Notamacropus eugenii: one gene and its partner. The protein of the gene in region 1 purifies or fractionates together with the protein of each later gene. This does not show direct contact. Links are inferred from orthologs where the notes say so. Each region holds a gene or a part of one and is shown on either strand. Other genes may lie near its edges.

What was found.
Region 2: the proteins of PLD1 (region 1) and ARF1 purify together in Homo sapiens (affinity purification with western blotting; 3 studies listed by BioGRID, with this or other methods). This does not show direct contact. The link is inferred for Notamacropus eugenii from reciprocal best matches to the Homo sapiens genes PLD1 and ARF1.

The regions. Positions count from the first base shown.
Region 1 is NC_092877.1:352,387,987-352,403,221, reverse strand, and holds the start of PLD1 (phospholipase D1), read right to left. Parts: upstream 7,031-15,235; 5' UTR 6,942-7,030; intron 1-6,941. UniProt on the Homo sapiens protein: Function as phospholipase selective for phosphatidylcholine. Implicated as a critical step in numerous cellular pathways, including signal transduction, membrane trafficking, and the regulation of mitosis.
Region 2 is NC_092872.1:9,971,676-9,987,401, forward strand, and holds the start of ARF1 (ADP-ribosylation factor 1), read right to left. Parts: upstream 7,371-15,726; 5' UTR 7,213-7,370; intron 7,059-7,212; exon of another isoform or gene 6,905-7,058; intron 5,825-6,904; exon of another isoform or gene 5,730-5,824; intron 1-5,729. UniProt on the Homo sapiens protein: Small GTPase involved in protein trafficking between different compartments. Modulates vesicle budding and uncoating within the Golgi complex. In its GTP-bound form, triggers the recruitment of coatomer proteins to the Golgi membrane.

The DNA of each region.
Region 1 (15,235 bases):
AAGCATTCTCAAGCTGTGTGTCCCTGAGCAAGTCACTAACCTCTCAACCTCAGTTTCCCCATCTGTAAAATGCAGAGAAGAAGAGCATGCAGGATGTAATGGACCTTTCTGACAAAGGCTCCAGTCCGCATGTCCAGAATGACTTCACACATCTTCTCTTTAACCACTCTACCTTGTGACCCAAGTGCCCTGGCTGCTTTCCTAACCTTAGCATTCCATCTCCTTATCTCATGTCTTTACCTAGGTTGGCTCCCATTCCAGGAATGCATACCCTTCTCTCAACACTCAATACAGGGGGCATCTCCTAGAAGAAACCTTCCCTCCCTCCTCAAATTAGGTTATAATTATTTATCCTCGTAAATGTTGCAAGCCTCTCTACCACAATGGAATCTAAGTTTCTTGTGGACAGGGACAATTTTCATTTCTCTTGCAATCTCAGGTGCTTTAAATACTTGAGTTCATATCTTGCCTCTGTTGAATAAGACTCTTAATTTCTCTGGGTTTCAGCTTCCTTATCTGGACTATGTGACTTCTAAAATTCCTCCAAGCTCAAAATCCAACATTCTTTTGAATGACATACAGAATTGAGCGTAAACATTAATGTATACATAGAATTGTTACCAAATTCCCAAAGTCTTTTCCTTTCTATCCCCATTGCCTATGACAGTCTGCAGTGCATAGTAGGTGCTTCATAAATGCTTCTTGGGTTGAAATGAAGGCCAGACTTGCAGGGTTCCTGTTATTTAAAAATAAATTGCCCAGGCATAATGGCTCATACCCATAGCCCCTGCTCTTTGGGAGGGTGAGGCTGGGCAATTACCTGAACTCAGGAGTTACAATCTGCAGTACGACTAAAGCCAAACGGTTGTCCGTCTTCATCATGCCCTGGTGATCAGGTACCTTCTCTGCTCTCCTTTTTCAGCTTCCTTTTGTGTTTTGCCTCCCCCCTCCCTTAGACTGTAAGCTCCCTCAGGGCGCAGAGTTTCTCTTTTGTATTTATATGCCCAGCCCTTAGCACAGTGCCTGGCACTTGGTAGATAATAAATGCTTATTCATTCACTGACTGACACTAATATAAAGAGCCTCTGGAAGCAGAGGGCTGCCAGGGTGTCTAAAGACGGGTGAAATAGCCTAGGTCAGAAAAGGAACAGGTCAAAGCTTCCATGTGGATTAGCAGGGAAACCTAAGTCTCTAAGAATAAAAATAATCATAGAACAGTGCAGGAATTCTTCAACTTTTTGTGTCAAAGTCCCTCTTGTCAATCCAGTAAAGCGTACAGACTCTTGCTTAGAAAAATGCTTTAAATGCAGAAAATAAAATACATAGCATTACCAAGGAAACAAATTCTATTGAAATACAAGTATCCAAATATATTTTAAAAAAACAAACAAGTTCACAGCCCCCCTCGCCCTCCCCGCAAAGGCTAAGAACTTCTGGACTATAAAGGGTGGAACAAGGAATGTGCAATGAGGAAAATGTGAACAAGACAATTCCTTTAGGTATTTACCTGCTTGGGATCCAGGCAAGTCACTTAAGGTCTGGGTGCCCCAGTTTCCTCAACTCTGAAGCTGGGATAACAGTAGCACTGACCTGCCAAGTCTTTTGTGAGGATCCAATGAGACGATCAATGTAAAGCATCACCTAACGGTCAAAGGCTCCTCCTCAGTCAGCAAAGATCCTGACTTTCCAAAACTGCTTCAAAGTCAATCCTAGCAGAAGCTTATCAAGGGAGGAGTGATTCAGGTGATGCTGGAGATTAGAGCAGCATTTATCTAGAGCTTTAAGGCCAAGGCAAAGGAGTATTTTCCTATAAGATATAATTACTCTCACAGCTTTTGGGTGTAACCTGACATTGGTTGGAATCGACATTATGTCTGCTTTGGACAGGAATCCCCAATATCTACCTACCCGAAGTCCTGTAGAAACAATTCCCTCTCATTCCAGAGGAGAAGGAAGAAAGGAGGAAAAGTCCCCAGAAAGATATTGGTGAGAGAAAGAATGGGAAACGGGCCATAAGGAAGCAGAGGCCAGGCCACCACTGCCAAAGCAGCATCAAGTGACCTGGAAAGGAGAGAATGCCAAGAGCCCAAGGCAAAACTACAGCTGACCAGGCAAAAGTCACTGGGACAGATACACAGAGGTTGGAACCCTGGGTGCTGCTCAGAATGGAGCCCAGGGCTCCTCACTTTCCTGTCCTTTTTCCTTCAGGCTCACTCTGGAGCTGTTTCAGGAGAGTCCTGAACCCGTATCTGCAACTCCTGCTTCTTTGTTTTTTGTTTCATCATTTGTTTTAAAATAAATGTTTTTCTCTAAGATAACATGCTCCTCCATTCCATTATTGGTTCATGTGTGATCTTAGGTAAATACGTTCACAAGACAGACCAGAGATAGTAAAGTACACTGGGGAGAGGTGTAGATTTTAAACTGCAGTGTGTGTGTGTGTGTGTGTGTGTGTGTGTGTGTGTGTGTGTGTGTGTGTGAGAGAGAGAGAGAGAGAGACAGAGAGAGAAAGAGAGAGAGAGAGAGAGAGAGACAGAGAGACAGAGAGACAGAGAGAGACAGAGAGACAGAGAAACAGAAAGAGAGATAGACAGAAATAGATAGACACAGACACAGAGAGACACGTAAGAGAAACAGAAAGAGAGGGAGGGAGAGACAGAGACAGAGAAAGGGAGGGAGGGAGGGAGACAGAGAGAGAGAGAGACAGAGACAGAGACAGAGAGAGAGAATGAGAAGTAGGGTTAGATTGTTTAACTGATGCTTCTCAGTTAGGGGCTTGAACTGTATAAAAGATTTTATTGTTTTGTATTTTCATAGTTTACCCAAAACAGAAAAGGAGTACACTTGGACTTGACACCATACCTAAATGAGTGAGGTAGCCCCTGGAGTGAAGGAGAACAGGAATTAGATTTTCTAGGGAAGTGGCCTCAGGCATCTCCTAATCTTACTGTCCTTCCCCCTGTGGCCTTGCCTAGAGAGAGGAGATTCTGAGGAAACAAGCATCTTCTGCCCTTCCCACCTGCCAGTTATGTATTCTGTGAGATGGTAAGAAAACTGTACTCAGGTATTTAGTATCCATATAATCAAGAGCAAGTCACCTTCTCTTTCACTTTTAAAACTGGGGGGTGGCAATGTGGTGGATAGTGATATTTATTGTCCCCTAGCTCTCTCAGCCAAAGATGTGTGATTTCCTAATGTGTCCTCTGGCTCCACTGAGCTGAGTTGGCTTAAAAATCCACTAAACCTTCCCTGATGATCTTCAAGAGTTGTGGGGGAAGCTAAGTGGTGCAGTGGATAGAGCACCAACCCTGAAGTCAGGAGGACCTGAGTTCAAATCTGGTCTCTCCCAGACACTTACTAGCTGTGTAACCCTGGGCAAATCTGTTAACCCTGATTGCCACAAAAAAAAAAAAAAAAAAGGTTTATCATGGCTTCTCCCAATTTAGCCAGCTTGGACCTCATGTGACAGATATACAGTGTATCACTTGGCTAATCCTGGGAGCCCTTACAGTTTGCCAACAGTAAGTTGTAGAAGAATCACAGTCATTTCCAGCAAAGGAGGGAAGACCTAGACCAGGGAAATCAAGGCACATATATTATTGAAAATGTGCCTTCATGTAGTGCCTGTCCCAGGGGAGACAGTATAATTTAATGAAAAGAGTTCTGGATTTGAAGTCAAAGATCTATTTTAAAATTCTGACTTCCTTATTTATTACTAGCATGACCTTGAGTAAGTTACTTACTTAGCCTTTTTTCATCTGTAAAATGAAGGGAGTTAGGCTAGATAATCTATGTTAAGATATTAAGAGACGCTGTTTCCCAGCAAACAGGCTGTGCCCTGAGCTCTCATCCTCTAGATGATCTCAGCCACAGAAAAATCCCAGAACTGTTTCATATAATTATTGCATTGTAATATCTCTGAGCTCAGATAAACACCTGCTGTATCCATATTCTGGTTAGGAAGTTCTGCTATGAACCAGACTCATCACATTGTGACTATAGCCCTCATTCTCAGGGCTACAGCTCACTATGTAGTATAGGTCTAAGTATTGAGATCTCCTGCACATGCGTCCTTCCCTGCAAGCCCCTGCAAGCCATTTCCCTCACTTTGAAATTAAATTTCTGTTTGATTCCTGAGTCTCCTGTCTCTAGTCTGCTCTGTCTGGCTCCAGTTACCCATAGATTGGAGGCTATTTCCATCTGGTTGACATCTGCAAGATACTTTCCAGCTCTAAACCTATGATCTTATCATTCTGTGAATTAACCAGTTAATGCCATTAGTTGTGCTGGACTCTCTGTGACCCTATTTAGAGTTTCCTTGGCAAAGGTACTAGAGTGGTTGGTCATTTCCTTCTCCAGCTCATTTTACAATAGAGAAACTGAGTCAAATAATGTTAAATGACTTGCCCCAGGTTACATAGATCGCAAGTGGCTGAGGCCAGATTTGAACTTGGGAAGATGAGTCTTCGTGACACCAGGCCTGGCATTCCATTCACTGGGCTGCCCCCTTGAATGTGACTCCCTTCAAGTTTTTGTCCTCGATCCTTTCCTGCACAGTGAAACTTCCAGAGAGAGTCATGGATCCCTTCTGCTTCAATTTCTGCAGGAGTACTTTATCCAGCAGTGGACTGACATGTTTAACAACTGGCTCTCCAAAAGAAAAATTGTACCCAAAAGACACTTTTCAGTTTAATTTCCATTATTGATATTTCTTCCATTCATTTCTTAAGTCTAAGAAAGTAAAAGAACAAATCAAGCCCTGATTGACAGTTTGTGGATTTTCAGATGTAAATTTAACAATCAGCTCTCCTAAAGCTATATGAGTTGACTCCAGAAATCCCCTGCCACACCCCCTCAAGCCTGGGCTATCTGGCCTCTGCCCCTCCCAAATTACTCAAGGTCACTCTCTCTTCCAAAGTCACTAAAGAGCTCCTTCCTACAGAGCCCAATGAACTGTTTCCCTTCCTAATCTTCTTTGACCTCTTTGTTTGTTGACTTATGGACTGAACCAGTTTCTCCCTTGTATCATGGTTGGCTGTGTACTTGCTTTCCCATTAGACCCTTTCCTTCAAAGCTCAGCTCAAGCACTAAGTCTTTGATGAACTCTTTTCCTGATCCCTGAGTTTGCTTCGATCCCCTCTTCCCGATTCTCCTGGTATTTACTCAATATACGTGCACATGTTGCTGCCTCCAAAAATGTACACGCTCTCATTTCCTTTGTCTTTTTATCCCTAACACAATACCAGACACAAAGCAGGTCCTGGACAAATCCTCTTTTACTGACTGACTGATTTGGATTTCAAGGTTTTGTGTCCTAGGTTGGTGTCAGGGAAAGAACAAAGGATTTGGAATGTAGAACCTGGGTTTAAGCCCCACTTCCAATGCTTACTACCTCTGTGACCTTAGGAAGGTCACTCAAGTTCCCTGAGAGTTATAGTCTACTGAAACATAAAATGAGAGGGTAGAATCAAATAGCTTCTGAGGTCCCTCTCAACTCTAATCTAAGCTCCTAGGTATATAGTGCAAGGATCCTGGGCTAATTAATAAGTCTTTCATTTTGGCAGGACATCCAAAATCAAGTCACATCTCATTTAGCAGAATGTATATAAAACTCTTTGGAAACCCTAAAATAGTATACAAATTTTAGCTAAGGGGTTTCTGGGGGGGGGGGAAGGGGGTCTGGACCTGAGATTTCATTGGTATGTGCTGATCTAATAATAACAATATTGAATAATAGCATTTATATAGCTCTTTTCCTATCATGGCACTTGAGTATCACAACATTGTGAAGTAGGTGCTATCATTATTCCCATTTCACAGATGAAAAAACTGAGACTGAGAGTTTGTTGGCTACTTATAAGTTTATTAGAGAGTTCTCTAGAGCCCTGAGAAACTGAATGACTTGCTCAGGGTTGAGCAGCTGGCCAGAGGTGAGACTGAGAATAGCTACACTATGGCTTCTCATTATCTATAATAATAATAATAATCCCTCCTCTGACAATGTAATTCTTTCTCCTGGGCCAGCACAGGGTCTCCTACTCCAGAATCAGCCCTCCAGCCTCTGTCTCTTCTGTTCTGCTGCTAACACGCACACACACACTCACACACACACCATACACACTTGCACATACACTCACACTCACACTCACACCACACACAGTCACACACACACACACACACACACACACACACACACACACACACACACACACACACACACACACACACACACACACACACACACACACACACACACACACACACACACACACACACACACACACCCCATCTGCAGATTCTGCCGGCACTTCCTGGTTTATCTGGGATGCTCGGCCTTCCATCCCTCACTAAACTCAGTCAGGCAGTCTGCCGGCTTCCGAGGAAACTCCGAAGGGGAGGCCCCGAGCTCTGGCATCTGGTCTCTTATCTTGACCGAGTCCATGGAGGAAGGAAAGAGGGAAAGGAGTGAGGGAAGGAAAGAAGCAGGAAAGGAGGGGGAAAGGAAGGGAGGGAGGGAGGGAGGGAGGGAGGGAGGGAGGGAGGGAGGGAGGCAGGAAGGAGAGAAAGGAGGGTGGGAATGTGCTCTGCCTCTCCTGGCAGCCCCTGACTCGCCCCGCCTAGGTCAACCCGCCCAGCCCAGTGTTCAGACTTGCCCCAAGTTGGCCCTAGCTGCGCTGCGCCGGGGGAGATGCCAACTTCAGAGCAAAGTTGGAGGAATCGTGTAGCGAGTGGGGGGCAGCCTAGGGGGCAGTCCTCTCTTAGTTGTCCCAGCCAAGGGGGGGCGGGGAGAGGCCAGCTGTCCGGGGTAGGGGGAGTTTAGGAGGGAAAAGGGGAGGAGGAAAGCTAAGGCGACTCCCCGCCCCCCGCTGCCCGGCAGCGGGTCCGTCCAGTCCGTCAGTCCTGCGCAGCCTCCAGCCCCGATGGGTCCCCGCAGTCCTTACCTGTCAGTGCGCGGCAGGCACATCAGCCAGTACCTGGGGCTGCCAGCTTCTGGGAACAGTCGGGCACCAAGTGCCCCCGGAGCCCAGGGCAGGAGGGGATGGAGAAGGAGGAGGAGGAGCCGGGGTGCACAGGGGCTGGGAAGACCGGAACTGGCGGGCGAGCTGGCGAGGAGCTCGGCGGGCAGGGGTGGGGCGAGGCGAGGCGGTGCCTGTGCTCTTTTGGCTTCCCGTGCTGGGCTGATCCGGGCCAGGCTGCCCGAGCCCTGGGGAGCGCAGCAGGGCGCTCGGGGGCGCAGGCTGTCCGGGCACGGCGGCCCTCCTGCCGAATACGGTCCTCTGCCACCAGAGGCTCCTCTGCTGCCCTCGAAGCTTCCCCTCCTGCCCCCGCCCTGGAAAGTGGGCGAGCTACCTGGAGTTAGCGTGGCATAAGCAAGGGTCTAGATCGGGACACGTAACTTTTGTGTCACGGCCACCTTTGGCTGTGAAATGAAGCCTATGGACACCTCAGACCGATATTTGCAATAAAATATATATGAAACAAAACACGGAATTACGAAGGAAACCCATTACATCGAAATGCAGTTACCAAAATATTTTGAAGTTCACTTATTTCAAAGTTTGTAAGGTTAAAAACTCCTGCTATAAACTAAATTTTGGAGGGATTGTCTCCATTTAAAATGTGAGGAAAGGAGACTCAACCGTGATGACACATGCCCAGGTATCTAGTAAGTGCCACAGAGGTAAGTTCTGGACCCACATCATCCTGACCCTGAGGTTAGCGCATTATCTCCAGCATTTGATCTGCTATCACAGTTAGAGCTCACAGTTAGAGCTGAAATAAACCCGCCCTCTTATTTTTAAAGGTAGGAAAACTGAGCTCCAGGAAGGAGACCCAAAGTTTCATAGGAAGTGGCAGACATGAGTCTCACTCCATTTCCTCTGCCTCCAAATACATCACTATTTCCACTGCTTGGCATTTATCAATTCGATAAATATGTGTTGAATTAAATTGAAGGAGGGACACTTAAAGGCCAGACACCACAACAACCTTGGTTATCTTCATCGATTCCCTTAGGAAAAGGGTTTGGGAAAAGGTGTCCCGAGAGCCCTGAGTAACTGGACCAGGCCCTGCTGGGAACTAGCTCTCTGGGATTTTGTTTTGAATACAGTCCAAAACCATCCTAATTACAATAGCACATCCCGTTAAGAGTAAAGACAGTAACCCTGGCCACATGCACATGAAGAAATGACGACCACTTGAAAGCAAACCCCGGCTGGTAGCCTTGGCCAAGACTTACCCAACAACAGCCTAGCACAAGCAGGGAGTTCTGCACACAAAGACTCTGGGGCTTGGAAGGGATAGAAATCATGCCCAAAGGGAGGGGAAGTGGGAACTTCCAACCCTTCAGAGCAGACTCCTACATTTACTCAGTCTACTCCCTCCCCCCCACCCCTTATCTTCACTTTGCCCCTGGAGTCCCTCTTTTCCTTACAATGGAAGACTCATCCTCCCATCTCTACCCTCAGTGGAAATCAGTGAGCTCTCTGGAATCCTGCAATGCTGACAGATTTTTACAATTAGACATGTGGGGTGCTCTATGGGGACTAAGCATTGCCTAAGAAAAGTTTGGCAAGTTGGAGAAAACATTGCTGAACAACCAACTGCCCATTCTTTCTTCCCCTCTTTCTCAAGTTTTTATTAGTCACAGATGACTTGATAAGTGTTGTGTGTACTAATAACTGGAATCTTACAGCTGTCTGGGGAGATTACAGGGCTTTAGTAAAGGCAGCAGGATATAAAGTTACTCAACGTGACCAAAGTGCTGTCGGTTAAACAGTTGGCTCCGATACCTGCAACCATCCATCTTCATTACTAGCAGTAATTAGCAATACCAATCAGAGAGTTGTTCCCAGAGGTAACTTAGCTTCTGCTTCCCTGGGCAGAATGGACCAGAGGGGCCCCTGCCTTGTGTTAGCTGGCTGAGAGGCCAACCTGGTAATCCATGGAATGGAAAGCATCAGCATTCCAAAGCTGATTTAACTTTGCCAGGGAGGGTTAGCTAGGCTATCCTTCCACATTTCTCAAAATGTGGAGAAAAGGCGGAGAGAGAGCCTGAAGAGGCAAGAATGGCAGGGTTAGGGAAGCAAGGGCTTTACTAGGTCCTTCCTATTTATGTCTCAAGGCAAGGCCTGTTCCCTTCAGTTTCCTCATCCAGGTTGCAGTTTCCTCATCCATAAAAGGAAAGGCTTGGATGATCTCTAAAACCTATGAACTTAGCCATTATCTTGTAGTGCTAGATAATGGAAGAAACATCTCATATTTTATAACCCCCTTTGATTTTGGCCCCTGGGTAACCCATGGCTATGGGGCATCAAGGTGGTGCAATGGATAGAGCCCTGGGCCTGGAGTCACAAAGACTTCTCTTCCTAAATTCAATTTGGCTTCAGACACTTACTAACTGTGTGACCCTGGGCAAGTCATGGTTAACTGCTTCAGTTTCCTGAACTGGAGAAGGAAATGGCAAACCATTCCAGTATCTTTGCCATGAACACCCTAAATGGGGTCACAAAAATCCAGATGCAAGTGAACAGCAGCAAAACCCACAGTCTAAAGGGATTAGATTTAGTTCAGGATTCTGTTTTCTTATGACTTTTTGACTGGAGATGTGATTCCATTTATATAGGGAATTTCCATTGAGGACCTTCCCTTTCTGACGCAGACTGGCAGGGATTGGGACACATTAGGATCATATATTTAGAGTTGGAAGGGATCTCAGAGGCCACCAAATCCAATCCCATCATTGTAATAGAAGAGGAAACTGAAACAAAGAGATTTGCCCAGGCCACATATTAATTGTCCGAGGCAGAATTCAAATCTAGTGTTTTCTGACTCCAAGTCTAGTGCCATATCCATTATGCCATGTTGCTTTTCAGTAAGAGCTTAATAAATGGCTTTTTAAAAATTTCATTCATCTATTTATTCACTCATTCTTTACAATTTATACTTAGAGATGTGGCATGCTGAGGTTAAGTACACAAAATCAGTCTATGTCAGAGACAGACGACCTAGGTGTTTCTGTGTTATGGTCTTTAACCACTGTGCAGCATAACCATACCTGCCCCATCTCTAACCCATTCTCCAGAGCAGCAATTACTCTATATGCATGTTCTATCATGGCAGCTAGGTGGTGCAGTGGATAGAGCTCTGAGACTGAAGTCAAAAACACGAGTTCAAATTCAGCCTCAGACACTTACTAGCTGTCCACCCCTGGGAAAGTCACTTAGGCTCTGTTTGTCTCAGTTTCCTCATCTGTAAAATGAGCTGGAGAAAGAAATGGCAAACCATTCCAGTATCTCAGCCGAGAAAATCCCAAATGGTGCCACAAAGAGTCAGACACGACTCAATTATACACAACAACAAAACAGTGATAATAACAGCACCTGCCTCCCAGGGTTGTTGGGAGGATCAGATGAGATAAGATTTGTAAAAGTGTTTGGAACATAGTGGGAAATTAACAATTCATATTCCTTCCTTTGTCCTATCCAAGCACACACTACCCCAACACACAGTGTGTACAGCAAAATAACGATAATAACGTTAAGGGTGATGATGATGATGATGATGATGATGGACGATGCTGGCATTTGTTTATTTATTTAATTAATTTTATTTTTATGTAATGTATATTATAAATAAACTATGTATTTATTTAATGTTTTCTAGGTACTTTACCTGCATAATTTCATTTGAATGTCACAGCATCCCATTGAAGTAGATATAGTATCAAGGACATTTTTATGCTTGTTTTCCACATAAAGAAATGAAGTCTCTGTGAGTTAAATGACTTGCCCATGGTTATCACGCTAGTAAGTGTCACAGATAGGATTCACACTGGTCTTCCTGACTCCAAACATTGCACTCAATTTAAAAACCTTGTCTTTTGTCGGATTTCAGGGGAGTGGCATTGTGAGTAGAGGCAGGAAGGGTTACATTTTATTATTATTCAATAATATTAATAATTATTCAAGTATGTCAATATAATGTATTCATTATTAATATTCATCAAGTAATATTAATTACTTGATTATAAATATTAGTCAAATTAATGTTAATTCAATGATATTTAACAGCATTCCATTACTTCTTCATATTAATAAAGAAACTAAATTAATTGTAGCAATTACTATGATTAAAGAATATTAACATCAATTAATATTTGATACTATGATAGTAATAATATAATTAATTATTAATGGCATTATGTATCACTTATTTTATTGTTTTAAATAATGAAATAATATTTAAAATAATTAATTATTACATAGCACTTTGAGGTATAAAAAACACTATGCATGTATTATTTTTCTTTATCCTCACCTGGGTCAGATACATCCCAGAAATGCTCTCCAATAATGCATCATGATTTAGTAGAAGAAACACTGGATTTGGAGACAGAAATCATGGTTTCAAATCTCAACTCTGCTCCTTGTTTTTTGTCACCTTGGGCAAGTCATTTTACTTCTCTGGGCCATGGTTTTCTCATCTATAAAAAGAGCACCTTGGACTCAGTGGCCCCTGGAGTCACTTCTGCGCTTCTATGATCTGTGTCTGGTCTGATTCACATGGTCTAGTGCTCATTTTCTTCTAGCTACAATTCTGCTCTATTCCCCCATTTCTTCAATTAAGATCTTACTCTGTCTTTCCACTAAGGTTCTTCCCTTAATACAATAGGTTCAAATAAGTTCAAGCCCTCCCCCACTTCTCTAGAGATTTTTTTCCCCAAATACTTATTAATGTTTGAATATGTTTTTGTTTTCTCTGTGTGTTTATAAAATTTAGATTCATTTACACAGTAGAAATAAGAAGTAGTAAGAAGAATATGAAGCTGAGTGAATGACTGCTTCAATCAATGAATCCATATACATTTGTTAAATGTCTACCTTGTATTAAATTAATATTATTATTAAGCGTATGTCTTATAGTATACTAGGTGCTAGAGATGTAGAGACCAAAATGAACAGGATCTTATATTATATTGGGAAAAGCAATATGCACACATGTAAGCATATGCAAAATATTAACTGTATAACCTTAGGAAACTAACTTAACTTTTCTGGATCTCAGTTTCTTCACCTATTAAATAGAGATGTTCATAGATTCTACCCCACTGGGGCTTTTGAGATTCAAATGAGATTGTGTGTGTAAAAAAGTTTGCAGACCTAAAAAGTCCCTATAAATGATAGATTTTAGAGCCACATGTTAGGGATAAAGTCCATAGAGCAGAAGAAACAGTGTGGGGTAGTGGATAGAGGAGTGAGGAAGACCTGAGTTCTAGCTCTGTTTTCACACATCATAGCTGTATGACCTTGGTAAAGTCATTTTACATCTCAGTGCCTCAGGCAATTCTCTAAAATTCTAAGTGACAAACAGTTACCAATCTATATCAGCGAGAATTTCTATTTCTGAAATTTCCTCCATTGATGATAGCACACATTCAGAGCCTCAAAAAAAAAAAAAATCCAAGGCTATTAGACAAATAATTATGTTTAAAAAGCATCCTGAAGGGGTTGGTAGTATTAATGTTAGCACACATAAAATCATTTCCATTTTAATTGCTATTCATTACATTATAGCCTAATTAAAATAGGTGTGACTATGTCATCATTGTATAGCAAATAGTAATAATAACTTAGAGGTTTTTAATGTGATATACTTGTGATCTCATGAATCTTCCCAATGATCCTGTGAGATGGGTGCTATTATTATCATCCCCATTTTACAGAAGAAGAAACTGTGCCTGAGTAGTTAAGAGACTTGCCCAGGGCCTCACTAGTATTTGAGGTAGCATTTGGACTCAGGTCTTCCTGACTCCAGATCCAGAGTTCTATCCACTACACCTCCTAGATGCCTATACAAAATATTGCTCATAAATTAAATATAAAGCATTGAAGATCTCCAGGATTTGATTGCTGGCTCTACATCCAGCCATTTTTAAAAATTTTTGTAACCAGAAGCATAAAACTTTCTCAAACTCGTTTATGCATAATGAACCTTTAGTTTTTAATGAAGATGTTATAAATGTAGCAATGCTAAATGTAACAAATACCCAAGATGAGCCAAATAGTTATGCCAAGAGATTTAGTCATTCCCTGATCAGATGCATCAATGAGTCAAAAACATTATCCATTGGGTCCTCCAATGGTACATTCTAAAGTGTTGACTACAAAGAGGGGAAAAAGGGATATAATTCCTCTTGAAACCTAAGTCTGATCAATTAGAACATGACTAAAAGTAGTAATGGCTCCTCTCTCTCTCTCTCTCTCTCTCTCTCTCTCTCTCTCTCTCTCTCTCTCTCTCTCTCTCTCTCTCTCCCCCCCCCTCCTTCTCTTTCTCTCTCTTTTTCTCTCTCTTTCCTCTGTTTCTCTCTCTCTTTCTCTTTCTCTCTCTCTTCTCCATATACATATATATACATACATATATATTATGTAGATATAGATATATAGATGCTTCATTTGATCACTTTATTTGAGATCATAGAATTTTAGAGGAAGAAGGGAACCTCGGAGACCATGTGAGCCAATTTCTATTTTAACTGAATGATTGATGTGCATGCCCAAAACCTAGTGGGCACAGGAAGCCTGACCCACAACGATGCCTGGAGAAGGTAGTACAAGATGACACAGTTAAAAAGACAAATCACTTAATCCTGATAGGCTCAAAAAAACATTGAAAATCTGGGAATTATAAGATCATCAATTTAGAAGGGAAGATTAGATCAACTTCCTGGTCCTCTCTGATGTATGTTTTGCTAATCTCATGGAGATTTCTAGCCCAGTCCTGGAATTCCATTACTCTGTAACTGTTCTTTTGCCACAACCCAGTCTTGGTGTGGGGTGGAGGGGTTGCTTGTTTCTTTAGTTTATTCTGCTCAATGTGGACCCAGGCTTGGTCACTTACTATCTACATCATTCTGGGCAAGTCACCTAATCTCTTTGGTCATCTCTTTCAGAAGTTTCCTCTTCTATAAAATGGAGGGATTGGATAGTATGATTTCTAAGTTCCCTTACATCAGTAAATTCTGTGATACCACATGTCTCACACCCAGATGGAAGTCATTCGATCTGGACCTTGAAAATCCCTGGCACATCAGACTTGCCTTGGGTAGGATACAGCAATTGAACCACAGAGAGGCACCTTGCCCAAGGTCATACATACATCTACTTAGTGACAAGCCTGGACTAGTACCAGGTTTCCTAAGTTCTAGTCCACTTACTGTAGGTCTCTAGAAGTTCTGGGTCAGATTTGTGTTATGCAGTTCTTCTAGTTATATCTTAGTCTTTACCTAGTTTTTCATACATACACACGCACACACACACACACACACACACACACATACATGGACACCATCATTACCATTATATCATTTCACTCCCAATCTGCATGCTGGGTATTAGCTTCATTAGCTTCTTAACTTCAACATTATACAGTTTCAGACATTCTCCATGGCACATGCTCTTTGATATTTACTCAGGCAATTTTTGCCCCCAACCACAAGGTGTTTATACAAGCCTTCATTTAGTATTACATGCTTTTGGCTAAAGTTTAGATTTCATAAGACCATGTTTGTTTTGTCAGAAAATGCGTTAGAATAGTTGCACTTGTTCTAAATGTTTACTTTAAAACAGGAGAGCCCAATTTTTTTGAATAATTTTCTTGGAATAACTGCCCCTCACATCTCTGCCCCTTTGCACTTTCCTGTTATAACTCATAGATTTTCTGTGGTCTAAGCATTTATGAAAATATTTGCTTGGCGGATTTTTGCTATTGATTTTTGAAACATTTTTATCGCCCTGCATTATTTTGTAGCTTCACCTACACTAAACTATTGCAAAATTATCTCAGAATTCAACGCCATACAATTATATTAGATTGCAAGCTTCTATGCCTAAAGGACCATAAAACTGTGTATGCCCTTTAACCCAGCAATAGCACTATTAGGTCTGTATCCCAAAGAGATCATAAAAAAAGGGAAAGAACCTACATGAGCAACAATACTTGCCACAGCTCTTTTTATGGTGACAAAGAATTGAAATTGAGGTCCAAGTTGTGGTATATGAATGTAATGGAATACTATTGTGATATACGAAAAGATGAGCAGGTAGACTTCAGAAAAACCTGGAAAGACCTAATGAGCTGAGGCTGAGTGAAGTGAGCAGAATCAGGAGAACGTTGTACACAGTAACAGCAACATTGTAACAATGATCAACTGTAATTGACTTAGCTCTTCTCAGCA
Region 2 (15,726 bases), on another chromosome or scaffold:
CAACCCTGTTATTTTTACAGAGGAGGAATTGAGGTCGCATGAGGTTTAAGTGATCTAAACCAGTCACAAAGGTAATGAATGGCAGACCCTGGATTTGAACAAGGTCCTCTGACTGAATCCTACACTTTCTCACTCTATGTAACAGGATAGTTCTGAGTCTTCTATATGATCAAAGTAGAGGCTGCCCCCTAAATCCTTGTAATACATTTCCTTCTTGCCTTCAGGGTCAGTTCACAAATCATCTCTGCTCCAAATCTCTTTAGGGCTTTCTTCCTCTTTTCTCCAGTATATATTTATACATGCTATATCCACCTCAGTAGAATGTAAACACTTAGGGCAAAGACTATCATTTTGTCTCAGTTCCCAGAACCCAAGGCCTTGACACAGAAGGCACTTATTAAACATTTTCTTAAATTGGATTAGAATAGAATAAGGAGATAACAAATCAATGAATCTGGTAAAAAAAAAAAAATTACAGGAGAAGTTATGTTCCTAGGTGCTTCCCAAATCAAAGATTATGGCAATGTCAATGAATAGTGTTTTCACATGTGTGGTACAGTGAGAAAAGTCCTGGATCTGAAGTCAGGACCTGGGTTCAAATGCAGACTCAATACTACTAGCATGACCTTGGGTAGTCATTTAATCTCTCTGGGCATCAGTTTCCTCATCTACAACACGGCAGGAAGAGGTATCCTTCTAGAAAGCAAATTAGAAGAAGCCCTGAAAGGTCACTAAATAATGAATGCAGTGACTCAGTATCACTACAAGTCACATAGTGTGAGGATGTCAACAGGAAAAAAGGACCCTTATGTACAAAATATTTACAGGAGTACTTTTTGTTGTAAAGAACTAGAAAAGAACAAAACTGGTGCCCAACCACACTATTAAGCCATTAAAAAGGGTGGGATTCAAAGTAATCTGGGAAGACTTGTATGAACTTTAGATTCTAAACTCCTTGAAGTCAGGGGCTGTCTTTTGCCTCATTTTGTATCCCTGGCACATAGTAAGTACTGAACAAATGTTTATTAGCTGACTGAACAGATACAGAGTGAAATGTGTGAAACCAGGAGAACAATTTACACAATAACTGGTATAATGTGAAGAATTTACACGATAACGGGAACGTAAAGAACAAATAACTGCAACATTAAGAACTTTGAAAAAGGCTGCATGACCAGTCATAAACTCAGAAGACTCTTATGATGACTGGTGAAACAAGCTTTCTGTATTTTCAGACAGTCAGTGTGTGAATTTGTTTTGCTTGACTATACATATACTTGTCATAAGAGAGGGTTTTCTGTTTGGGAGACTTGGCAGGGGAAGCTGGTAGATAGTAATTAAAAAAGAACTACAATTAAATATTAAAATACAGGAAGTTCAAAAAGGGGACGTACAAGAACAATTTATTAGTATGTTAAACTTAAAATATAGTTTAAAAAAACTGTACATACAGAAGTTCACAGTTTTATATACAACCTTATTTTTCTGTTCTTTGTATAACGAAATTTTCATGTTTGTCAAGTTCATGATTAAAAAAAAATTTAAATGACAGTATTGGTCTAGCTGGGCAGAGTTGGCTTCTAAGGTCCCTTTCAGCTATACATGCTTCTAATTAGTGTTATCAGAAGACACCAATCATCACTTCAGTTCAATAATGCACTGATATTCTTGCTTACGTAACAAACATCTAGACAAGGTCTAATATTTTTGGCTTAAGTCACAAGTGTTTTAGACAAACCTAAGATACGTCATCAAAGAAATTCTATTAGTAACAAGTTATTAAGCAAAGGCCTCAGCCATCATCAACTGCAGAATAAGAACACAATTTTCATGTAACTATGTCTATAATTTTGAAAAGATTGCATCACTTCCAAAAGAAGTTGGAAATACCAAAAGTTATTAATATCTGCCAGTTAATTTCACTGCCTAAATTACTAATTGGCATAGTATTTTAAGCATAAATTAATGGATTCAATAAGTTAAATGCCAAGCTGTATTCAGTTTCATCTGCAAAAGGTAGGAAGCTATTACTTTTAACAGCAATTTTTAAAAGAACATTCTTTGTTCTCCTGTTGGCGTATTTATAACTATACCTGCATTTTTACCACTCAGTCTTATTTTCGGGAAAAAAAATTTTGGCCTTATCTATTTGAACCTATATATTTAAATGGGTAGAGCAAAAGAAATTTGTCAAAGGAAAATATTTAACAGTCAGACTTAAAAACACAAAGAGTAGGATGGTACAGAGAGAAGAGCACTGGCCCTGGAATCAAAACCACCTCTGTTTCTGTGTAACTTTAGACAAGTCATAAGTTTCCAGAAATTAGGGTGTGGACTAGATGGCCTCAGGTCTCTTCCAGCTCAAAATCCTGGACCTAAGATTCTATGTACATGTTTTATAATTTCTATCTTGAGAAAAATTATAATCTACTTCACAGGGTTATGAATATGCTTTTTGTAAACCTGTGCTAAATTACAAATATCATCTGATTTGATCCTCACGACAACCCTGGGAGACAGTTAACTATACTTGCTTAGACTCACAGCTAGTAACTATCTTAAGGTTCAATTTGAACTCAGATCTTCCTAACTCCAGGTACCAACACTCTAACTACTGAACCACCAGCTACTCAGAAACAGATGTAATAGTGAGGGCTAACTTGGCTGAATCACAGTGTATATATAAAGCTGGAAAAGGTAAGAGACTGGTTGTCTAGGGCTTTAAATACTGAACAAAGGAGTCTATATCTGGAGGTATCATGAACATGACATTATCAAACCTGTGCTTTAGGAATATCACTGGTAGCTGTGTGGAGCATAGATTGGAAGGGGGAGGTCAATCAAGAAGTTATACCAGTCCAAGTGAGAGGTGATAAGGGTCTGGATTAGGGTGGTGGCTGTGTCAATGGAGAACAGGAGTCAAAAGGATGCCAGATACCTCAAAGAGAAAGAAAGACAAAGTCTGGCAACACTATGTGGTATACAGGATAGTCCAAGTCAAGTCCCTCATCTCAGCTTTGCCACTTAACTATATGTAATGTAAGGTAAGTCTTTTGACGAGATGCCCTCTAAGTATTTGATGTCTTTAGAGCTGTGATGCTCTAATATGGAAAGTGAAATAGCATTCACTTCACAGGAATGTTGGGAAAATAAAACGACAAACTTATGTTAATCTTTGTAAGCTAATTACCTTGCTTTCTCACACAAAGCATGACAATGTAATACAACCATTGATTCAGAGTCATACCATAATCAATCACTGATAATGAATATTTGCCCCTATTCTTGAGTGGCCCCACCACTTAATAGCTATGTTTTTCCAGTTTCCGTGTTTACTTTTCAGAAAGTATTTCATTCTCCTCTTTCACTGTCAGGCCATAAATTCTAGTCTGCTCTTCCCTCTCAATTTGCTACTTTGGCCAAAATCCTGGATACTAGAGAAAGTCATTGAGAATCCTTTGTAAAGTTAAAACATTCTTTGTGAGGGTCTATCCTATAAATAACATACAGAAACATGTACTTGTATATTTCTGGATAGGTGAAATGTTACTGTATTTATAAAAACATTTTTAACAATTAGGTGTGTATAAACATAGGATCAGTTAAAAATTTTGTATTTCATATTTATAAATTCTAACAAGACATTTTAAAAATCCACCATTTACAACTTTTTCTTCAGCAAGTAGAAAGGCTAATGTTCAATATAATCAAAGTACTATCTTATCTGGTTTTTTTTAAATACCAAAAGATTATTTTTCAGACACAGGTAAGCTAGAAAAACATGTATAATTCTCCATTACTTATGCCAATGGGGAACAGCTGTAACATAAGAAGTACACAAGGAATTTCAAAAACCAAACTTCCCCTTTCAATAAAACCTTAATAATATAAAAAGAAATTTTAATTTAATCCCTTTTATTTTTTCTATTTATTTTCATATCTGTAGTGCTACATAATACAAATTGGATGGCAGGATTCGGATTAAAGTGGAATTAACTGATTTGTGACTACACATTAGCTCTGAAATTAACCATGAGATTCATACAATTATTAAAACGAATATCACAATAGCGTAAAAGTTTAGTAAAAATTCTAATTATAAACTCTTGAAACCTATCCAAGTCCTCCTCTCAACACTGTATCCTGCAGAAATTCCACCTCTGTATTAAAAGTACATTGGGGATTGTTAAAACTCCAACTCTGATAACAGGATTCTTTAATTTCACATTTTATGTCTACATTTTATGACCTCAATTTCTAAATTACTCTAGAATACTAATAAAAACAAAGCCTTCTCAAGGAACTAAGTGTGCAAAATGCAGATGAGCACACAACAATTTCATTAACATAAACTACAGAAGAATAAGAAAGTCAAACAGTACAAAAGAATGAAGGGATAAAAAAGGAAAACCCCCATCTACCTGCAAACGCAAATATCAGATCTGGTTCTCATAAAAACAAAAGTACACCTCTAACACTAAGACAGCAGTACACAAAATGGCACACAATGTAAATGCTTGATTTTTGTCTTTTTTTAAAAAAGGCTCACCACAACAGCCAACCATTTTTTGCAAGTACTCTGCTCCCTCCAAATCAAAATTTATTGTTAATCACTTACAGAGATGAAAAAGTTGAGATTGTAACTTTCCTTTGTTCCAAGTTACTCCTACCTTAAGTACGAGTTAGCAGGTACTAGGGTGTGTGGAATGCCCTTGTCATGTTGGGTAAGAGGTAAAGTGAATGGCTAGATCACATGATTAAAAATGCAGAACTGTTAGGGTGTAGGGCAACTGCTTTTTGCATGCCGACTATAAATCTTGCTTCAGTTATTTCCTATCTTTTAGAGTTGTAACAGTATCAGCTCCCCTCAAATGCTGAATAACATTTCTAAGAGTATGCCAAAACAAACTTTTTTTTTTTTTTTTAGAACAGAAGCAAGGGGAATTATGTGACATCCTTTTGAGATAGCCAGATACCTTCAGACTTGGGGGTTGTAACTGGTGAGCTGAGTTACATGGATAGACTGCTTTGTCCGTATATTTCCCTAAAATCATAGTCTATCACCCAAGTACTGGAGAGAACACATTTCAGTAACATGTGAAGATAAACAAACTAGGCTTGTGATTAATTTTTAAACCATTAAACTCCTTTTAACTTTGGCCCCAACTAACACTTGGTACTTCAAGGTCTAACAGTTTGAATCACTGACTATTACTAAAAACTAAAGTTAACTGACAAATTCATCCTCTCATAATACTTAAGTTTTAGTTTAGGCAAAGAACGATACCTAAGACTAGGACGGGTCACTTAGATGTGTAATCCTATGTTTTATATTTGATTAGAAGCACTGATGAAAAGATGAGGATAAAATTAGCATTTTACAAACTGCTGAGGAATTGTTCTAAAAGAGTAACCAGGAAACTGCTCCATCTCCATAGCCCCCCTACTAACTAGCTGTATGACCTTGGGCGTGTCACCTAACTCCCTCCCCCAACCAAATGTTCATTTATAAAAGGGGCAGAGTGGACTCCAATCCTCTTACGTCTAAAACTCTATGATGACATATTCTAGGAATTGTTTCCAGTGGCATCTGAAAATCACTCCCAAATTTATTTAAAACATCACTCAGTCTTCACAAATTCTCTTAAATCTCTGACCGGGCTCGAGGTGCCGTCGGAATAAATTAGTTACAACGAAGTGCTGTGTAATTAAGTTATTATCGGAATTACATTTCTACACGCGGTTCACAACCAGGATTATGCAACAGCAAGCGCCCAGCGGAGTCACTCCAGTGACGGAACTGTTCCTCCATCCCCTCTCTACATCTGGCCGAAGGGCTGACCCTACGGCAGGGACACCGAGCACAGGTCCACGACGACCACCGACAGCAGCCTGGACACCCGCTCCCCGAAGGTCTGCCTCCGATCGCAACGTCGGCGGCCAAGCACGCCGTTCTCCCGGGATCGGCACTCGGTGTAGACCGACCGCGCTCCTCCACAAAGGCCGGCGGTGTGGCAGTCGGAGAAGTCGGTCCGAGCCCCAGCCTCGGGTGACCTTGGGCAAGTCACCTCCCTTGCTGGCCTCGGGGCACCCAGCCGTGACCCCCTCACTCCGAACCTTAGGGGCGTGGGGTCGGAATCCGTCTACACGGCATTTCCTACAGCTAGGCGTTATTACAAACCCGACCAGGAACAGAAACCGGGATGCCTCCTCCTCCTCCCCCCTTCCTTCCTCCACCGCAAAATGACTCAAAGCCTCGGGCTCTCGGCGGTAACCTCCCTGCGGGCGGCCGGAGAACGGCTTCGTGTCCGCCTCGGGGTCGGGCCGGCTCCGGCCTTCGGTTAAACATGGCCCGCCCGGGCCAAGGGGGGCCCGAAGGAAGCTCGGCGGGGCCGAGTGTGAGAGGAGGGAGACCCGAGTTCGAACCCTGCCCCCGCTGGCCTCAGTTTCCCCATAGGGAACCGGCGGGGGTGGGCCTCGAGGGCCTCCAGGCCCCCGCTTCCGCCCCGATCCTATAACATACTAACAAAAGCTCCGCAGACACCCCACGACCCGCCGCCCCGCCCCCGCTCGTACCCGGCTCTCGCGGCCTTGCCGCCTCGCACACCGGAGGCGCTTCTCCGACCCGGCTCTCTGGCCTCCGCGGTCCCCGCCCCACCCCAACCCCGCCGCCCCGGCCCCAGGCTCCGCGCTCCGGGCCGCCCCCTCACGAACCCCCCCCGCCGTGGGCCTCCCTCGGTCGGAGCGCGGCCTTCCTCGCCGCGGACCGCCCCGGCTGGGCCCGGCCGCCTCGGGCCTGGCCTGCTCTGGCCCCGCTCCCGTCACCTCCCCCGCCCGGCCCCGGCGCCGAGGACGGCCGCGGCGGGGCAGGGGCCCGGGGTGGCGGAGGGGGGCCTCGCCTTACCTCCTCGCCCCTGAGCCTCGGGCTTCCCGTCTCCTCACCCGCGAGCGGCTGCCGCTGCTTCTTTTTATCGGCTCTCCAGGCGTTGGTTTTGCTCCCACAAGATGGCGGCTCCCGACGGCAGCCACGTCAGTGCCAGGGAGGGCCGTGGAGGGGGCTGGGTAATCGGCGGGCTGCGTCACCGCTTCGCTCCGCCCACTCCCCCGACTTCCCGCCCCACCCTTCCCTCTATCTCCTCACCCCTCCCTCCCTTCTTCCCTCCCCCAAGATTGCGGGCTAAGCGCTTCCGAGCCCTGCCGGGCCCTTCCTACCTCACTCGTCTGTCTCCCGGGGGCCCTCCGTGTCCTCCCCTTGTGCGCACGCTCACAGGCCGCTCCCCCACTCCTTTCCACTTTTACGCGCACGCATGCGTACCGCTCCCTTTCTCCCTGCCCTGCCTCCAGCAGGCCCCGGCCTGAACTCGGAGAACGCAGGCTGCGCATGCGGCCTTGGTCTCCTACGCTCTTTGCCCTACTTCCCGGGAGCCTCTGTGGGGGCCGGAGCAGGCAGGGGTCGGCCTCGTTTTTCGCTATGTAAAATCATTCGTAAATCGAAGCTCTACCAAAAAAACCCAACCACTTTTAGATTACCACCCTGCCCCCCCCTTAACTAACCGGACTTGTTTATTAATTGATTCCCTGGGGAAAGGCTTTAAGAAAACAATGCTTCTCTCCAACACCCCCTCCCCCTCTCTGTTCATCTCTTTAAGGTGCCCACCTGCTGGGGTCCCGTGCCCTCCAGGCGGCCAAATGCCCCCCAAGCCTTCCTTCCGCGGGCTCTCACGTGGCTCCTTCCCTAGGCCCTCGGGGTGGGGGTCAGCCGCGTCCACCCGACCCCCTCCTTCCTAAGGGCCCCGACACCGCGGGGGGCGAGGCCGGCCGGACCCCGCAGCCGGGGCCCCAACGTGGCTTTTGTGCCTTTAGGGAGACTGAGGTCTGCGGTGGCACAGGGCCTGGCGGAGGGCGCAGCCCGGACCCCGGACCTCCGGACCCCCGGACCCCGGACCTCCGGACCCCGGACCCCTGGACCCCCGGACCCCGGACCCCGGACCTCCGGACCCCGGACCCCCGGACCCCCGGACCCCGGACCCCGGACCCCCGGACCCCCGGACCCGGCTGGCCGAGCTCCAACGAGGCCCCGCGGAAATGCTCAGTCACTCAGAAACCCTTATCAAGGACCTAGTGTGTGCCAGGCACAAGCACTAGGGAAATGAGAAAGACAAAGGGCTGGCCACCGTCTACGATCGTCCTCAGCATTAGTAGGGTATTGTGTAATGTGCAGCGTCCATCGTTATCAATACATTATGTCATATGCAGAGACCGTTATCAATACATTATGTCATATACCATGTCCATCGTTATCAATACATTATGTCATATGCAGAGACCGTTATCAATACATTATGTCATATGCAGCGTCCATCGTTATCAATACATTATGTCATATGCAGAGACCATCGTTATCAATACATTATGTCATATGCAGCGTCCATCGTTATCAATACATTATGTCATATGCCATGTCCATCGTTATCAATACATTATGTCATATGCAGCGTCCATCGTTATCAATACATTATGTCATATGCAGCGTCCATCGTTATCAATACATTATGTCATATGCAGAGACCGTTATCAATACATTATGTCATATGCAGCGTCCATCGTTATCAATACATTATGTCATATGCAGAGACCGTTATCAATACATTATGTCATATGCAGCGTCCATCGTTATCAATACATTATGTCATATGCAGAGACCATCGTTATCAATACATTATGTCATATGCAGAGACCGTTATCAATACATTATGTCATATGCAGCGTCCATCGTTATCAATACATTATGTCATATGCAGCGTCCATCGTTATCAATACATTATGTCATATGCAGAGACCGTTATCAATACATTATGTCATATGCAGCGTCCATCGTTATCAATACATTATGTCATATGCAGAGACCGTTATCAATACATTATGTCATATGCAGCGTCCATCGTTATCAATACATTATGTCATATGCAGCGTCCATCGTTATCAATACATTATGTCATATGCCATGTCCATCGTTATCAATACATTATGTCATATGCAGCGTCCATCGTTATCAATACATTATGTCATATGCAGCGTCCATCGTTATCAATACATTATGTCATATGCCATGTCCATCGTTATCAATACATTATTATGTCATATGCAGTGTCCATCGTTATCAATATATTATGTCATATGCAGCATCCATCATTATCAATATACTATTATGTCATATGCAGAGACCGTTATCAATACATTATGTCATATGCAGCGTCCATCGTTATCAATACATTATGTCATATGCAGAGACCGTTATCAATACATTATGTCATATGCAGCGTCCATCGTTATCAATACATTATGTCATATGCCATGTCCATCGTTATCAATACATTATGTCATATGCAGCGTCCATCGTTATCAATACATTATGTCATATGCAGAGACTGTTATCAATACATTATGTCATATGCAGCGTCCCAGCGTCCACCGTTATCAATACATTATGTCATATGCCATGTCCATCGTTATCAATACATTATGTCATATGCAGCGTCCATCGTTATCAATACATTATGTCATATTCAGCGTCCATCGTTATCAATACATTATGTCATATGCCATGTCCATCGTTATCAATACATTATGTCATATGCAGTGTCCATCGTTATCAATACATTATTATGTCATATGCCGTGTCCATCGTTATCAATATAACATTATGTAATATACAGTGATGATCATTATTAATATAATATTATGTAATATACAGCATAATACTATCATAATCTTTCTTCCCCATTGACCAGAGCTTACTTAGCTCTGGGGAAGAGTCAATCCACAATATAGTGTTTATTAATTAAAACAAACTGAATGTGAAAGGTGAAAGGACCAGCTTTCTGGAGTTAGATCACACAGGGTGCCCCAAAGTCTTAATACAAGCTTTTTTTTTTTTTTAAGCTATAACTTAAAAGTGAAGTTTCATTTTTACTTTAAGCTTAAAAACTTCACTAAGACCCTTGGAGGGGCAGCTAGGTGGTGAAGCGAACAGAGCATCAGTCCTGGAGTCAGGAAGACCCTAGTTCAAATCTAGGCTCAGACCATTTACTAGTTGCCCAAATCACTTGAATAGGCTTCAGTTTCCTCATCTGTAAAATGAGCCGGAGAAAGAAATGGCAAATCACTCTAGTGTCTTTGCCAAGAAAACCCCAAATGGAGTCACAAAGAGCTGAACAGGACTGAACAACAAAAAGCCCCGTGGGACACTTTGTATATTTTCATTGATTTAGATCTGAAAGGGAGGTCCAAACCCCTCAATTTCAATCAATAAACATTTATTAAGTGCCTACTATGTAAGAGGCTAAGGTCTGGGAATCCACAAAGAGGCAAAAAGCAGTCTTATCCTCAAGGAACTTACAGCCTAATGATGAAGAAAAAGGCTCATAGTGGTAAAATTTGTCCAAGGTCGTATGAAGTAACAAGGAACAGACTTGGAATGCAAATGAGGAAGAACTCTTTCCTCTGTCTATACTTCCCACTAAGCTACTTGGGAATAGGTCTAGGACTAATTAGGAGGTTCCAGGCTGGACTTTCCCAACATAGTGCTTTAGGTCACCATTTTAAAGAGTTATTGAATCATAGGATCATAGCTGTAGAGAGGGAAAGGGACCTAGAAGTCATTCTGTCCTATACCCTCATTTTACAGGTATAGCTGAGGCCCAAAAAGGTCACTTACCTCAGATCACACAGGTAATAAGTGGTAGCTAGGTGTCACAGTGGATAGCCTGGAATCAGGAAGCTCTGCCCCCAGTCACTTAATAGCTGTGAGATCCTGGGCATGTCACTTAACCTGCATCTGCCTCAGTTTTCTCAGCTGTAAAATGGGGATGATAATAGTACCTACCTTAAAGGGTGAGAATCAAGTGATACAGTAACTGTAAAGCCCTTAGCAATGCCGGACACTTTGGTGGTGTGTTCACTTGCTGTTCAGTCATGTCTGACTCTTCAGGACGTCGTTTAGGTTTTCTTGGTAAAGATACTTAGGTTGGTTGCCATTTCCTTCTCCAGTTCATTTTATAGATGAGGAAGGGTGAAGTGACTTATCTAGGGTCACACAGCTAGGGAGTGTTTGAGGCCAGATCTGAAATTTGACTTCGGGCCCAACACTCTATCCAATGTACCACGTACCTGGCACAGAGTAGGTGATTAAGAAATGCTAGCTTCCTTCCCCCATCATTGTGCCATCATAATGAAAGGCTGAAAATCTGTAGGGATGAGTTGAGGCAGAAAAATAGACATTTCAGCAACATTCACTGTGTCCTGCCCTGTTCTGGTGCTGACCTCCTGATCTTGACTTTCCTGTCTGGCCTCCAAATTCCCACTTCTATCTTAGACCTCTTGGTTTTGGTTTATACACACTTGGGTCTCAGCCCTGGTGATAGCATAGTGATAAGAGCTGAGCTCTCAGGGATGTTGAAATAAAAGTCACCAGCAGGGATTTTAAAGTATTTACCATGTGGCAGGCACCTTGCTAAGCTTCAAGGTTACAAAAAAAGGCAAAAAGCAGTTCCTGTCCTCAATGAGCTTAAATTCTGGTGGGGGACACAACATGTGAATAACTTGTGTGTCTAAGATATATTCAGAGTAGATTGAAGGTAATCTCAGATAAGGCACTAGTGGCTGGGGGAGCTGGGAAAGCCCACCCTGCAGGAGATAAGATTTCAGCTGGGCCTGGTGGGAAACTGAGGCAACACATGGGGGAATAGTCAGTATAGAGGAAAGGAGACAGGAGCAGAGGATATTATGAGAAACAGGAAGTATCTAGGCCCACTTCTCCATTCATTGCACCCACCCAACTACCTATAGAGGACATAGCTATGAAAGAGATGAGAATTGAACCCATGGGGAGCAGATGAGATCTCCAGGTGAGATTGCATGGAGTGAAAAGAGGAGGCTCTGGAAAGACACTTGGGGGATCCCCAGAGGAGTGCAGGAGCTGGCTCAAACCATCTCAGGAAAGCCTGTTGTTAAGTTTTCCCCCTGGGAAATCAGCAAACACTACAAATTAGGACTTGATTTATTGTTTTGTCTGGGTTTAAGAAAGTGATGGATAAAATGTTGTTAAAGTGGATTAAATTTAACAGTGTGCCAGGGGACATACTTCCCCCTCCCCCTTCTCCCCAGAGGACTGATTGTTAAATATTTATCAGTACATCACTGGGGGCACACAATTAAGAGTGCATGATATGAATGAAGGGCCAGCAAAGGGGACTGAGGAGCATTTGGACTGATAGAAAGAGAACTAGAACAAATCAGTGTCATGAAAACCTCCAGGAAGAAAAGGTGGTCAATGATGTCAAATGCTTTATAAAGGTCAAGAATCGAGGAGGAGGAGGAATGAGCAAAGGCCATTAGATTTGGCAGTTAAGGGGATCATTGATAGCTTTTGGAAAGGGCAGTTTCAATGGAAAGAAGTCAGATTTCAGAGAGTTTAGAAGAGAGTGAGAGGAAATAGGGTGCTGAAGGGGATCTTATAATCCTTAAGACTCCATTGAAATGAGAGTTACTGTTAACACCAGGATAGATCAGCTCCCTTTTGGGGAAGAAGTCACCACCCTCATTCATTTACTTCCTCAAAAGCCCAGAAGGCCTAAAAGAAAAGAGGTGACCTTTGGCTGGGCGGGTGGTAGCCATAGCCTGTGAAGGGTTGTATGAGATGTAAGGCAGTGAAGGCCTCCTGTAGGGGCAGAGCATGCTAAATCTCATGTCATTCATTTAGGATTTCCTTCTATTTCAGACTGAAGCCCATCCATAACTGCCAATCCTGTGTGGCTCTTGTCTGGGCCTATAAATGACACTCAATGTGCTGGAAGCCTTCCTCGATTTCTCCAAATATCTTCAGGGTATCTGGGAAGCACCCTGACCATCCACCTGTCATTCCTTACCCTTAACTCCATCTTCTCTTCAGGTCGTGCTCATTTTTATAGTTTCAAGTTTATAAAGCACTTTCTTGACACCCTCTAAGTATTTGTCCCATTTTCATTTTTCTTCTTCTTTTATTCTTTGTATTATTTAATTTTTATTCTTTTTATTATAATTCTTTTTATTTTATTCCATTTATTCTATTTTATTATTATCTATTCTTTTTATTCTATTTATTTCTTTTTTTATTTGACCCTCTCCTCTTCCCCATGACTCCTATCTCCCCCCCTCCCAGAGTTTTCATTCTTTTCTTTTACTCTCTCTTTCACTCTCCTTCCCTTCCCCTCTAATGGTGGTATTTGTTTATATTTGATCTTGATGCCAATGACTTCTCCATCACCTAGCCTTCCCTCTCTCATATACTCCTGTCTCGTATACTCTTCCTGATGTATGCTCACCTGACCCTATTGAGTATACATATACATCTACAGATGACTATACGTATATATCTCCTTACCATATTGTGTGTGTGTGTGTGTGTGTATGAATGTGAATGTGATTATATGTGGGAATGTGTTTCAAGCTTCCTTTATCCACTTGACTTAAAAGTGAGGCTTATGGGATACTTTTCCTCCCATTCTCTCTCCATCCTCCCTGCTCATATGCTCTTCATCTCATGCACCGCTATTATGTGAGATAGTGAATTCCCTCCTCTTCCTCTTTTCCTTCCCAATACAGTACCGTACCCTTCCTATTTCCTTCTGCTCCTCAGACCATCAAGATAGAACAAAGACTAACTCTTTCTTTATTACCCTTGAAGATATTAAAGTTCTGAAAGCATACTTATTTCTTCTCTCTCTTAAGCAATCTTCACATGGTCCCTTTCAGATGTACTCTTCTATTTTTCATTTCCATTTCAAAGGATCCACTCAGGAAAATTTTATAAAAGGTCATTTTTTGCCCTGTAGAATATACTTAGTTTTTCTGGGTAGGTTATTCTTGACTGTAAGCCTTTTGGAGTATCCTATTCCAAGATCTCCCCTCCTTGACGATGGCAGCTGCCAAATCTTCAGTTAACTTCATTATGGCTCCTTGACACTTGAATGCTTTCTTTTATGATTGCTTGAAGTGTTCAGATTTGACCTCAGACACTAGTTGTATGACCTGGGCAAGTCACTTAACCCTGTTTGCCTCAGTTTCTTTCTGTATAAAATATATGGAGAAGGAAATGGCAAACCACTACAAAATAACTCTTGTAGCTCTTACAGCTACAACATTCTTATCTCTGAGAATCCACTTGCACTTGTGGAGCGACTTTCTTCTGGGTGTTTATCTCCTGAGTTTCTTTCAGCCCAAAGTATTTCTGCATTATGTTTGTTTTTTCCTTCTCTTTTCTCATACCTCCAGTCTTGGTTTCTGGACTAGGAGTTAGCACATGGGTCAAACTCTCCTCCCACATTCCTGAATGGTATATAGGAAGTCCTGCAGGATCCTGAGTTTGATGGCTAAGACTAGATATTACCTTCTGTAGGAACTGTATGACTTTGTCTCCTGTGGTGGAAACTGTCTGCCTGGATGCTAGGTCAGGTGCCCACTGCTTAAAGCTGGTCTGACCTTTTCTTCTGCTGCTGATTGGGTGCTGAGTGCTGTCTGGTGCTGTCTCTTGCTTCGGGATAGTTCCCCAATGTTGGGCACTGGTTTGGCCCTATTAACTCCATTTTAAAGATAAAGAAATAAAAACCCAGAGACATGAAGTTATTTCCTGAATAACATCAGAGTCAGGACTTGGCAGGTCTTTTTTTTCTTCTTTTCCAAGGATTACTTACCTTACTTCATGCCCAGCCCAACTCATCGATCCCATCACAACTTTACAAGATTCTTCTCCTCTTTTTCCCATCTCCTCCTTCCCACCACTTACCTCTGGACCTTTGTCCAGACTTCATGTTAGTCTTTCTTCCTAGAATCACCTCCTGCCCAAATCCTATTCATTCTTCCAGGCTCAGCTCACATTCCCCTTTATAATCACAGAGTCTTTGTTTTCTTTTCTGGGCTCATAGGAGGCATTAGAAGAAGATTGTGGTATAGTAGATAGAGGGTAAACCACAGAGTCCGGAGCCTATCCTTTAGACTTAGCGTTTCCCTGAGCATCTGGTATAATAAGTGTTTAATATCTGATAACTCCTGCTGGAGGAGATCTAAAGTTAGATAAGACACAGTCTCTGCCTTCTCGTCTCCTTGAGCTAACGGTCTAATAAGGAGATAACAATACTACAAATAATATATAAGTTCTTCAGAGAGTTGTAAATGAAATGTGAAGTGGGTGAGTAGGGTCGTGTGCCCAGAATACGATCCACTGCGGGGGATTCAGGAAAGATTCCTGGAGGAAATGACCTTTGAATTAGATCTTAAAGGATAGATAGGATTTTCAGTGGGGTAGGGGGAGTATAAATAGAAGGATATTCCTAAGCTTTGGGAATAGTCAGGAGGGGGGATGCAGGCTATATACAGGGGGGTAGTCTTACCACATTGGAAAACACAAAGAGTGATGGATTAGTGTGAAAAATAAATCCCCTGAAGTGGTGCGTAAATTGATACTATTGGAAGCTATAATATATAAAATACGTCCATTGCTTCTAGTCCAGTGGAAAAATGCGGTGAGAATTTCTATGCTTCTACCTCTTCCAGGGGTTGATTAGGACACTGGAGGGAAGTTGCGTGAGAAGACTGGAAAAGTCTGGTGGAACCAGACCTGTGATTACTTAATGTTTCAAGCCTCTTAACCTCTCTCAGACTCAGTTTTGTCACCTGTAAAATGGGGATAAT